Neurospora crassa OR74A: one gene and its partner. The protein of the gene in region 1 interacts with the protein of each later gene in a pairwise test. Links are inferred from orthologs where the notes say so. Each region holds a gene or a part of one and is shown in the gene's direction. Other genes may lie near its edges.

Region 1 (5,161 bases):
GTGGTCCATTCGGGGTTCCATAGCCGAAAGCAGCTGGTGCCTTTCCGTAGCTGTTAGGACGGTGGTAGGATCCAGGAGTACTTGACCGGTGTTGACTGGGAGTAGCAGATAGCGGTCGCGGGATCTGGTAGGGAATACCGGGAGACTGAGGTGGTGTACCAGAGGCCGATGAGCTGGCAAATGTGGGCGAAAACTGAGGGCCCGGAGAAGCCACCGCCGGTCGTCGGACTGTATTCCTCTTGTCGGCCGGGTTGAACGTCTTCAGCTTTCCGTCCTCGATCATAGCCTGAAGCACGCCAGCATCCAGTAACTCAGCCTTCTTGATGATGCGTCTCACCATTTCCCCACCCGCCTTCTTCATTTGCGACTTGACAAAGCTCATGACAGTGCGACTGCACTTGATCTCAATATCCTCACGGAGATATAACCCATCCGACGGTGCCCCAAGAGCTGATAACCCCATCTCAAGTGGCTCTGGAGGCTCAAAGTTTGGTTGATTACCGGCGATGCGATAGGTGTTGCGAAGGTCAACGTTCATGGGGGCGTATATGTGAGTCTGAAGACCCCACGGCATGTCGTGAAAGCAGCCATTGAACTTGATGGTTGTAGCCCCCATCCTCCCAATTCCAGGCAGAATCGTGACTCGTTCGGTGATCTCATACCATGTCGCATAATACTCGTCTGTTTCTGCATCCTGGGGGGCCGCGATGGGCTTGTGGTCGAGGACAAGAGGGTTAAGAGTAATGACTTCAGAATGAGAATGAAGGATGTCGATGGCCAACTGTCGTGGAATGAAGCCCGGGATGGGCGTGATAACGGTGAAGGCTTCCTTCTTGCGCAACATGGTGGACATTGGATGCTGTGGGTAGATATGTAACACCGATAAATGAAAGTTTATTCACCTCTATAGAGGTGTGGGCAGGGTATAGTAGCCGATCTCCGAAGCCTGGATTTGATGAGTCGCTGGAATTTGGCCCAAGTCGGATGATGAATCTGGCCCTGGTGTGGGACGAGAGACGAAACAAGAGAGGAAGTGGGAGGGAGAGAATTCAAACGGATCTTGGGGGTCAGCTTGGAGTATAATGGATAGAACGTGGTAGAGGTAGGTTGGTAGGGCTGAGTATCATGAGGGGCAGCCTGTGGATGGCCGCTTGGTTCCCGGCCACGCTGCCTCCTGGTAGTGCCGAACAGACGGATCTTGCCATTACGTTTGTGGCTTATTGGACCAACCCAGCTCCCATCACCCACCATTTTGAAGAGAATTTTGACGCAATAAGAGGCCACCGGCTGCGCCCACTCCCCAGCGCGGGACCACCGACCATACGCTTAGCATGGGTTTAGCGGTCATTGGCATTGGTGAATCGCCCCCGCCAGCATCCTGCCTATAGTTCCTGACCTTTTCCGAAGATGACGTGAGACGCCTTTTCTCCCATCGCTTATCCCGGTCTCGTTCAGCAGTATCAAATTGCCACTCGACGACTCCCCGAATTGTCCAAAAAGCATCCGTATCCGGCTTCATTGCTAGGCGTGAAAGGATTAGTTGAAACTGGACAAGTGGACAGACTTCATTGAACAATAGCCTGTGAGGTCGATGAAGCCTTCGGGGCTTGTCTGCCCGCGGCAAGTGCTATGCCATCCAGCCGTTGAGATCCTAAAATATCCAGGCACCCATAATACCGGGGTATAACTTGAAGAGCGGGACCGCCAAGTTACTAGGTCGAGTGTCGACTAGCTACTGCGGCGGTTGAGGGCTGTGGTATTCGCGGATTAACAGCGGCTCGGCTGAAAACAAGAAGCTGTCAAGCAGGCCATATGGGCTTTTGATATAGGCATGATAACAGGGTATAGGTCGCCAACTGATTTAGTTCCAAATTGGTAAAAAGATGATGGATGAGATGCGAGCCGGCCAGATATGGATTGGATGTCGAGGAACATGAAGGCGTAGGTAGTTGGAAGATGAATGGGTGAGAGGATGAAAAGAGACCAATGTCGAGGTTTCAGTCATTTCACTTTGGGGAAAACAAAATGCCAAGCCTTACCTACCCTTCACCCCACCCATGCCTTGATGGATGGAACCTTTCCGCCCGCTACGCCAGGCGATCAATGGACTTTGGTTTTTTTTTGTTTTTTTTTTTCTCTTGCGGTGTTGCCCCTCTGTGGCCCTCGGACATTCACTCCGTCGCAACCACCTATGACCATCCCTACAGCAGTGACCCCGCCGCTTACGACATCCGTGAAACTTTCTTCCCGAGACTCATTACAACACCATCTCTGCGCAAACTGAAATCTGCAACAACTTTGATTTTATCCGACAGATAACACAGAGATCACCAAACGATCTTCCACGCACCCGTGCACAGCTGTCGCACCATGGCTTCGACTTCGGCATCGTCTGCCGCCAAGGCTGACCAGCCTGTTGCCATCGTCTGCGTTGGCATGGCAGGTAGGTCTACGCATGCTCATGTTCTGTGCTTTTCCCAACCGCAAGCGGAATCATCCAGCTGACCATGTTCCCCAGGATCCGGCAAGACAACCTTTATGCAACAGATCAATGCCCATCTCCACGGAAAGAAGGAGCCTCCTTATGTCATCAACCTCGACCCAGCAGTCACCCACTCGCCCTTCGAGAGCAACATTGACATCCGCGACTCGGTCAACTACAAGGAGGTGATGAAGCAGTACAACCTCGGCCCCAACGGCGGCATTCTCACATCGCTGAACCTCTTTGCCACCAAAGTCGACCAGGTTCTCGGCCTGCTCGAGAAGCGCACGGCGCCCAAGCCCGACGACCCGACGCACACGCCCATCAAGCACATTCTCGTCGACACGCCGGGCCAGATCGAGGTGTTCGTCTGGTCCGCGTCGGGCCAGATTCTCCTTGAGTCGCTCGCCTCATCCTTCCCCACCGTCATCGCCTACATCATCGACACCCCCCGGACGAGCTCGACGTCGACCTTCATGAGCAACATGCTGTACGCCTGCAGTATCCTTTACAAGACCAAGCTGCCCATGATTCTGGTCTTCAACAAGTCGGACGTTAAGGACCCGGCTTTTGCAAAGGAGTGGATGACCGACTATGATGCGTTCCAGGCTGCGCTGCAGGAGGACGAGACCAACAACGCGTTTGGCGGAGCGGAGGGCAGCGGCGATGGCATGGGCTCGGGCAGCGGATACATGGGCTCGCTGTTGAACAGCATGAGTCTGATGTTGGAGGAGTTTTACGCACATCTGAACGTGGTGGGCGTCAGTTCGCTGTACGGGACGGGCATTGACGAGTTCTTTGCCGCGGTTCAGGAGAAGGCAGAGGAGTTCAAGCGCGATTACCAGCCTGAGCTCGAGAGGAGGCGCGAAGAAAGGGAGGAGAACAAGAAGAAGGCGCGGGAGAGGGAACTCAACAAAATGATGAAGGGAATGTCGATGGGCGACGCGGCGGGCGACGTCACAGTGGGTGACGTCAATGATAAAGAGGCCCCCGAGCCGTTGAGCACGGACGAGGAGAGCAGCGACGAGGAATATGGTGACGATCCCAACGACGAGTATGACCGCGAGGGATTGCAGGCGAGGTACGCCGCTGCCATGCAGGGCGAGGATGATTCGGTTTTGGCCGACGCAAGTTTTGCAAAGTACCTCCACAGCCAGAGGTGATGAGATTGGCCATTGGTAAGGAAAGGATTTATGGAGCAGTGTTGGCAAGACAAGTGATCGAGAGGGAAGGAGATTTAGCATACAACCGGCGTTTTCAGAGTGATACCATACCAATATTCTATATGGCAAAAAACATGATCAATAATGAGAAGCATCACAGAACGGATCCATCTGATGGTGATAGGTGATGATGACGATGATGAAAAGCAATGCTTTCTTTGTATAAATTCCCACAAGTCTACCGATATTTCCCAGAACGCCGCCATCATGATATTGTGATGAATATGATATCTCCCTTCTTCTGATCACAACAAGCCGTAGGTTCAAGGCTGGGCCATGCTAAGCCACCGCTAATGGTGCAAAATCACACCAAGATATCGACGGTTCGAGTCTCCTACGGTCCCAGCTCCCCTCGACAAATGTTCCCGTTGCCTCCAAGGCTGACTCGGCTCCCGTCCTTGGGCATCAGGACATCCCGGCCGGTCCAAATACGATGAAAACTTCAGCCCGATACGGCATCGAGGAAGAGCGACCCCTTTCTACACCTCCTTTGTTGGCCCCAAGTCGAACAAAGTCGAATAAGAAACCATTTACCGAGCCTCGAACTGAACCATTCTATTACCCCCAGACCGTCGTTAGCATAAGATTTTTCTCTCCCACCTTCTCAGAATCTTCCACCGGGTAAGCCCAAAGAAAACGTACCTCTTGGTGCGCTCCTTATACAAAACACGCGCACCGCACTTCTGGCAACGGATAGGAGCGCCCTTCTCGAGCGGCACGCGGACCGCGCAGTCGCCGCAAGTGTACCACATGACGCTGCTGCCACCGCTGTTGCCGTCGTTGTTAGAGGCACCGGTGGTGAAGCCCTGGGAGTTGGGGACCTGGTATTGCTCGCGGGAAGACATCTTGGTTGTTTGTGTTGTGTTGAGGGTGGTGTGGTATTTGTGGTTTGGGTTTGTTTGTCGTCGGGTTTGCTCGGATAAATTGGATGACGGTTATGCAACGTGTAAGATTGTCTTTGTGTTGAGGCGACGACAAATCGATGTTATGCGATTTATAGCGATATGCGACGATGATGTCGTTCGGTTGATGATGATGATGATGTTGAATATTTACCGGTGGAGTGGTTTGCGACGGACGAGAGGGACGGAGCGCTACCTATACAGGCGACTGAGTTTCAACTGGACGCGAACAACGAAAGGTAAAAAAAGGCGGGACGCTGAGGCAGAAAGTTCCAGACTTTGACAAAGGGTGACAGAAGCAGGCGGCGTTCGGACTTTGCGAATGCAAGTTACCCCTGTCATATCATGATAAATTCTCCACTCTTCTGTGGGTAGCTGTCAGCGCGGCAGGCAATTCCCCCACGTTTTCGGCGGAGTTTGGAGGCCGAGGTTGTTCGCGGCAGCCCTGGCGCCTCACCACTGCACACCACCGGGTCGATGCCCGCCGGCAAGCGGAGGTAAGACAGGGACGGGGAACGGGCCCGGTGCTTCACTTGTGTTTGGCTTTGGGGTCT
Region 2 (4,417 bases), on another chromosome or scaffold:
GTGTCTGATGTGGTTTCTGGGATGAGTTAGCAATGTGCGCGTACAAAAGGCCAAGCACTGAATGAGTATGACTCGAAGAGAAAGGGGTTGAAGAGACAATTGGGTGGATGTGAGGCTTGAAAGTGCAAGAGGACACGGTTGACCAACTAATCACCCGGGCGCAAGGCGATGTACGGTATAGGAAGTTCGGGATGGCAGAGAGAGAGAAAAGAAGTGGTGAAGACTCCAATCGCAAGACACTTTGCTCGTTGAAGCCAGAGAGATGGTGTTTGGACCAAGGAGCCTGCACAATGGAGCTGCGATTGCCTTGTCCAGGATGCAGAATGACGCCTCAAAACTTTTTCTTTTTGGAGGACACGGGTTCGACACGTGGGGAGAGGGCTCTTTGGTTGGGATTGTTGGGGTTCGTCCTGACTGGAAGTGACTCACCTTCTGGTTGCGACGAAGCAAAAGACAGAGGAAGCAGAACCTACAAGAGGGAATGAAGTTAAGAAGAGGAGGAAAGAGATTGAGGGCTTGGAAGGAGCGGAGTTTATGTGAAAGAAAACGGGGGAGGTGGGTGTGGGAGTATTTGAGGAATTTTGCATCCAGTCGCGGACCCTGATGGAAAGGAGGCCGGGTTTCGGGCGCCAGAGACGGGATGGCGGGGTAACGAGAAACTTTCAATTCCGAATTGGTGTACAAAATAACAAATTCTGCCAGGGCTACTAGGGAAGAAAGATGCACGAGCTGGGCGGGGCTCCCCTACGATGGCGAATAATGCGCGGGGATCACGGCAAGAAGAACGGACCATCTCCATTTTACGCTTTCACGTGTAGGCGTCTAGCGTCTCCGGCTGGCCATGATCAAGTGGCAGCAGGAGAGCGGGCAGAACGAATGGATCATTGATCTTAGACTCTGGCATATCAGGCTGAGTGGTGAACCCAAGTGCACTCTATAGGTAGACGTCCGATATCGTGAACATGATCCAGCCGTCTGGATAAAGATAACCTCGAGATCGTTCTTTCTGTTGGAGTGCAGGAACTCAATCTCATCTGAAGTTCTTCAACATCTGCAACGGCACGCAACCGCCCAGCGGCCGACGGTTCGGCCGACACCACATATTTTGTAGCGTGCCCCGGCCGGGTAATGGTGTAGTGTACATAACCTGTCAAAAGTCTGGATGTGACCTTGGACCCGCTTTTTGAGAGAAGGAGAAATTGCGCAATCGCAGCCCTCTGGTCGTGCAACAAGTGGAAGGGTGGTGCCTTTTGGGTACCTTTGTTTGCCCTGCCAGCTCTGCTCGCGCATCGCTCTCATGGAAGCACACCGCATTTGACGCCATTCGTTGACATGATGTGACCCCAGTGGGGCACCTAGGTACAATTGTGTACCTCTACATAGTAGATGCCGCAAAAAAATTATCAAGGCGCGCTTACACCGGCAGGCATGTCTCGTGGCAATCGTGCCTGCAGCAGCGGCAACGCTATCAGGGCAGTATCCGTACTTATCAGGCAGTAGAAAGTTTGGCGATCGAGTCCGGGTATCGAGGCAACCTTTTCGTCACCAGTCGCATCATTTCGCATTGACGGGATTTTCCTTGTCACACCTGTACAGCACACAGCATCCGTTCCGAGCCCGAATAGACATCAACGACAATCCCACAAAGCTTCGTCCACACACCAAGATCCAGGTATCCAATCCTTTCGCCAGATCACCCCGCCGTATCACCGTCGCGCATCCGTCCAGTTGGGCTGCAGCTCAGAGTTGACAAGCAACTCCTCTCCACCGTTCATATATACGCACATCCTAGACGTCGGTGCATCATCGCGGCCATGAGCAAGTACGGTGTGATGGTGATGGGCCCCGCGGGGGCGGGAAAGGTAGGCTAGGCTCTAGTTAACGGCAATTCCCCATCTGCGCTTTCCACTGGTTCTCTAACGGCTCGGTGTGCCAGTCCACCTTTTGTGCATCGCTCATCACACATCTTCAACTTAACCGGCGCTCTGCTTTCTACGTGAACCTCGATCCCGCCGCCGAATCATTCGAACACACGCCCGATCTCGACATCAAGGACCTGATATCTCTAGAAGATGTGATGGACGAGATGAAGCTCGGCCCCAACGGCGGCCTGATCTACTGCTTCGAGTTCCTCATGGAGAACCTCGACTTCCTGACCGAGGCGCTGGACTCGCTGACCGAGGAGTACCTCATTATCTTTGATATGCCGGGTCAGATCGAGCTTTACACGCATATTCCAATCCTTCCTACCCTTGTCAAGTTCCTCACAACACCCGGCGCCCTGGACATTCGTTTGTGCGCTGCATACCTGCTGGAAGCTACCTTTGTCGTCGATCGTGCCAAATACTTTGCAGGTTCCCTGAGCGCCATGAGCGCCATGATCATGCTGGAAGTCCCGCATATCAACATTCTCAGCAAGATGGATCTGGTCAAGAACCAAGTAAGGAAGAAGGACCTCAAGAAGTTTATAACTCCGGATACCTCGTTGTTGCTTGACGATCCAGCGGACCTTGCCAGGAGGAAGGCGGGCGAGGACATCTCGGATGACCAGTACGCCGATCCCCAGGATAAGAACGCCATGCTGTCTGGCGCGACGTTCAAGCGCCTCAACACGGCTGTCGCGCAACTGCTTGAAACCTTCAGCATGGTCAGCTACCTCAAGCTGGATTCCACCGACGAGGACAGTGTTGGGGCAATTCTGAGCTACATTGATGACTGCATACAATACCACGAAGCACAAGAACCACGGGAGCTGAAGGACGAAGAGTTTGACGAGGCTGAGGAATAGTTGGAAGAGGAATGATTCGAAGCTTGAGAATGAAGGGGTCTCCAGATTTTGACTGAATTACAAATGGACTCGTCATTACCATATGGGCAAAATGTATAGGGATTCTGCATAGCGACGGCGTCGGGGAAGAAGATACAAGTTTGGCTCACCGAAAAAGAATGGGATGGGGTACGGAAGCAAAGCAATAATGATCTATATGTTCTTTTCCCACTTGACTACCAAAGCCCTTAAAACAGTATTCCTAACGCAAGGTCACCGCCTGTAACATTCACGTCCTCGGTCCTTCGCACCTCCAAGGTCGCAGATCTCGAACATTGCCTGACAGGAAACGCCGTAACGCCATGGGATATGCGGTATTCCAACAGCCAGCCACCCTCCAACTTTTATCGTCGTATCATCGTGATTTCGTCCGTAAAGCCAAAAAAAAAAAATCCACCTCGTACTCTCCTCCGCGAGGCATCGATTCTCCATCTCTCCTTTTCAAGAGTGATCGTCTTCTTCATAGTCATCATCCAAGATATCTCCACCATCATCTTGATCTTCCATCGCTGCCTGCCCTTTCCGCTTCACCCTGACGCCCTCCCCTTATCCACCCTTGCCTCTTCCTTGCTATCCAACAACATATCTCCCGCTGCTTCTCGTTTAAGCGCGATCATACTTAGCATGACCCCTCGCCTTATCCTGCGCCTCATACCTCTGCCACTCGGTCATGAAGAAATTCCAAATGCCCAGTCCATACCCGCTCGCCCTGCCCAGCCAGAACGTCGCATCCCTCGCGCTCTGCTCCACTCCGCGCCTGTACACCCAGCTTGCGACCGCCGCCATGCCCGCCCAGAACACCAGCGTGAACGCAAGCCTGGTGAAAAACATGAGCACCCGTCGCATCCAGCTCAGAACCTGCAGCACCATGACCAGCAGCAACAGCACGCCGGCGAGAATGACCACGTCGGGGGAGGCGTAGATGTATGCCGTTAGCCGCTCGACAAGCGGCTGCATGATCGGGATGAGAGTGGAGATGAAGGCTTCGATTGTTGACATTATGTGCCGCTTGAGAGATTGGATGGCGGAGTCGGGCGAGAGGAGGTGCTGACGGGCGAGGGAGAGGTAGGGGTCTGGGAGGACGCCTATGATGAGAAGAAGAAGAAGAGGATGGTAGGTTAGCGGACGGGATGCATCACAGAAAGAGGGAGGAAGGTGACGGGTTTTATGATGAGGTAAAAGCAAAAGATGTCCACGTCAAAGTGTGAATCGCAACGTGGCGCTTTGGGCTCTTTTGCATTCTTTTTGGGCTGGCATGCTGGTGAAGACTGGGGAAGTTCGGGGAGTGCGACAGGTTGGCGCAAGACTTACCAGTAAGAAGCTGGAGAGCCCATTCGATGGGGAGGTTGAACGGATCCATAGTGTTTGACGATGATCTAGCCGTGGCCTGTAGAGATTGGTGGGTAGTCGCGCGAAGCAAGGAGGTCTTATATAAAATTCTGGTGAGGAAGCAAGCGAAGATGTGAAATGCGATTTGCGATTGCGGTATCTGTTGTGTTGTTTTGGAAGGGAAACGTGGTGGGGTAGTTGTGGTGCGAAGTGAAAAAGAACCAGTGGAGCGACGGCGATGTTAGCGATTCCGTGGAGGCG

What was found.
Region 2: the proteins of NCU04507 (region 1) and NCU02658 interact in a two-hybrid assay, tested with the Saccharomyces cerevisiae proteins (3 studies listed by BioGRID). The link is inferred for Neurospora crassa OR74A from reciprocal best matches to the Saccharomyces cerevisiae genes NPA3 and GPN3.

What each region holds. Positions count from the first base shown.
Region 1 is NC_026504.1:3,141,835-3,146,995, reverse strand, and holds NCU04507 (ATP binding protein), read left to right. Parts: upstream 1-2,123; 5' UTR 2,124-2,370; coding exon 2,371-2,443; intron 2,444-2,518; coding exon 2,519-3,645; 3' UTR 3,646-3,815; downstream 3,816-5,161. Other genes in the region: NCU04506 (hypothetical protein), read right to left, coding at 1-853; NCU04508 (hypothetical protein), read right to left, coding at 4,236-4,260, 4,348-4,550. UniProt on the Saccharomyces cerevisiae protein: Small GTPase required for proper nuclear import of RNA polymerase II (RNAPII). May act at an RNAP assembly step prior to nuclear import. Promotes sister chromatid separation during anaphase.
Region 2 is NC_026501.1:3,093,808-3,098,224, forward strand, and holds NCU02658 (ATP binding protein), read left to right. Parts: upstream 1-1,490; 5' UTR 1,491-1,814; coding exon 1,815-1,862; intron 1,863-1,936; coding exon 1,937-2,788; 3' UTR 2,789-3,047; downstream 3,048-4,417. Other genes in the region: NCU02659 (hypothetical protein), read right to left, coding at 3,431-3,912, 4,139-4,187. UniProt on the Saccharomyces cerevisiae protein: Small GTPase required for proper nuclear localization of RNA polymerase II and III (RNAPII and RNAPIII). May act at an RNAP assembly step prior to nuclear import. Promotes sister chromatid separation during anaphase.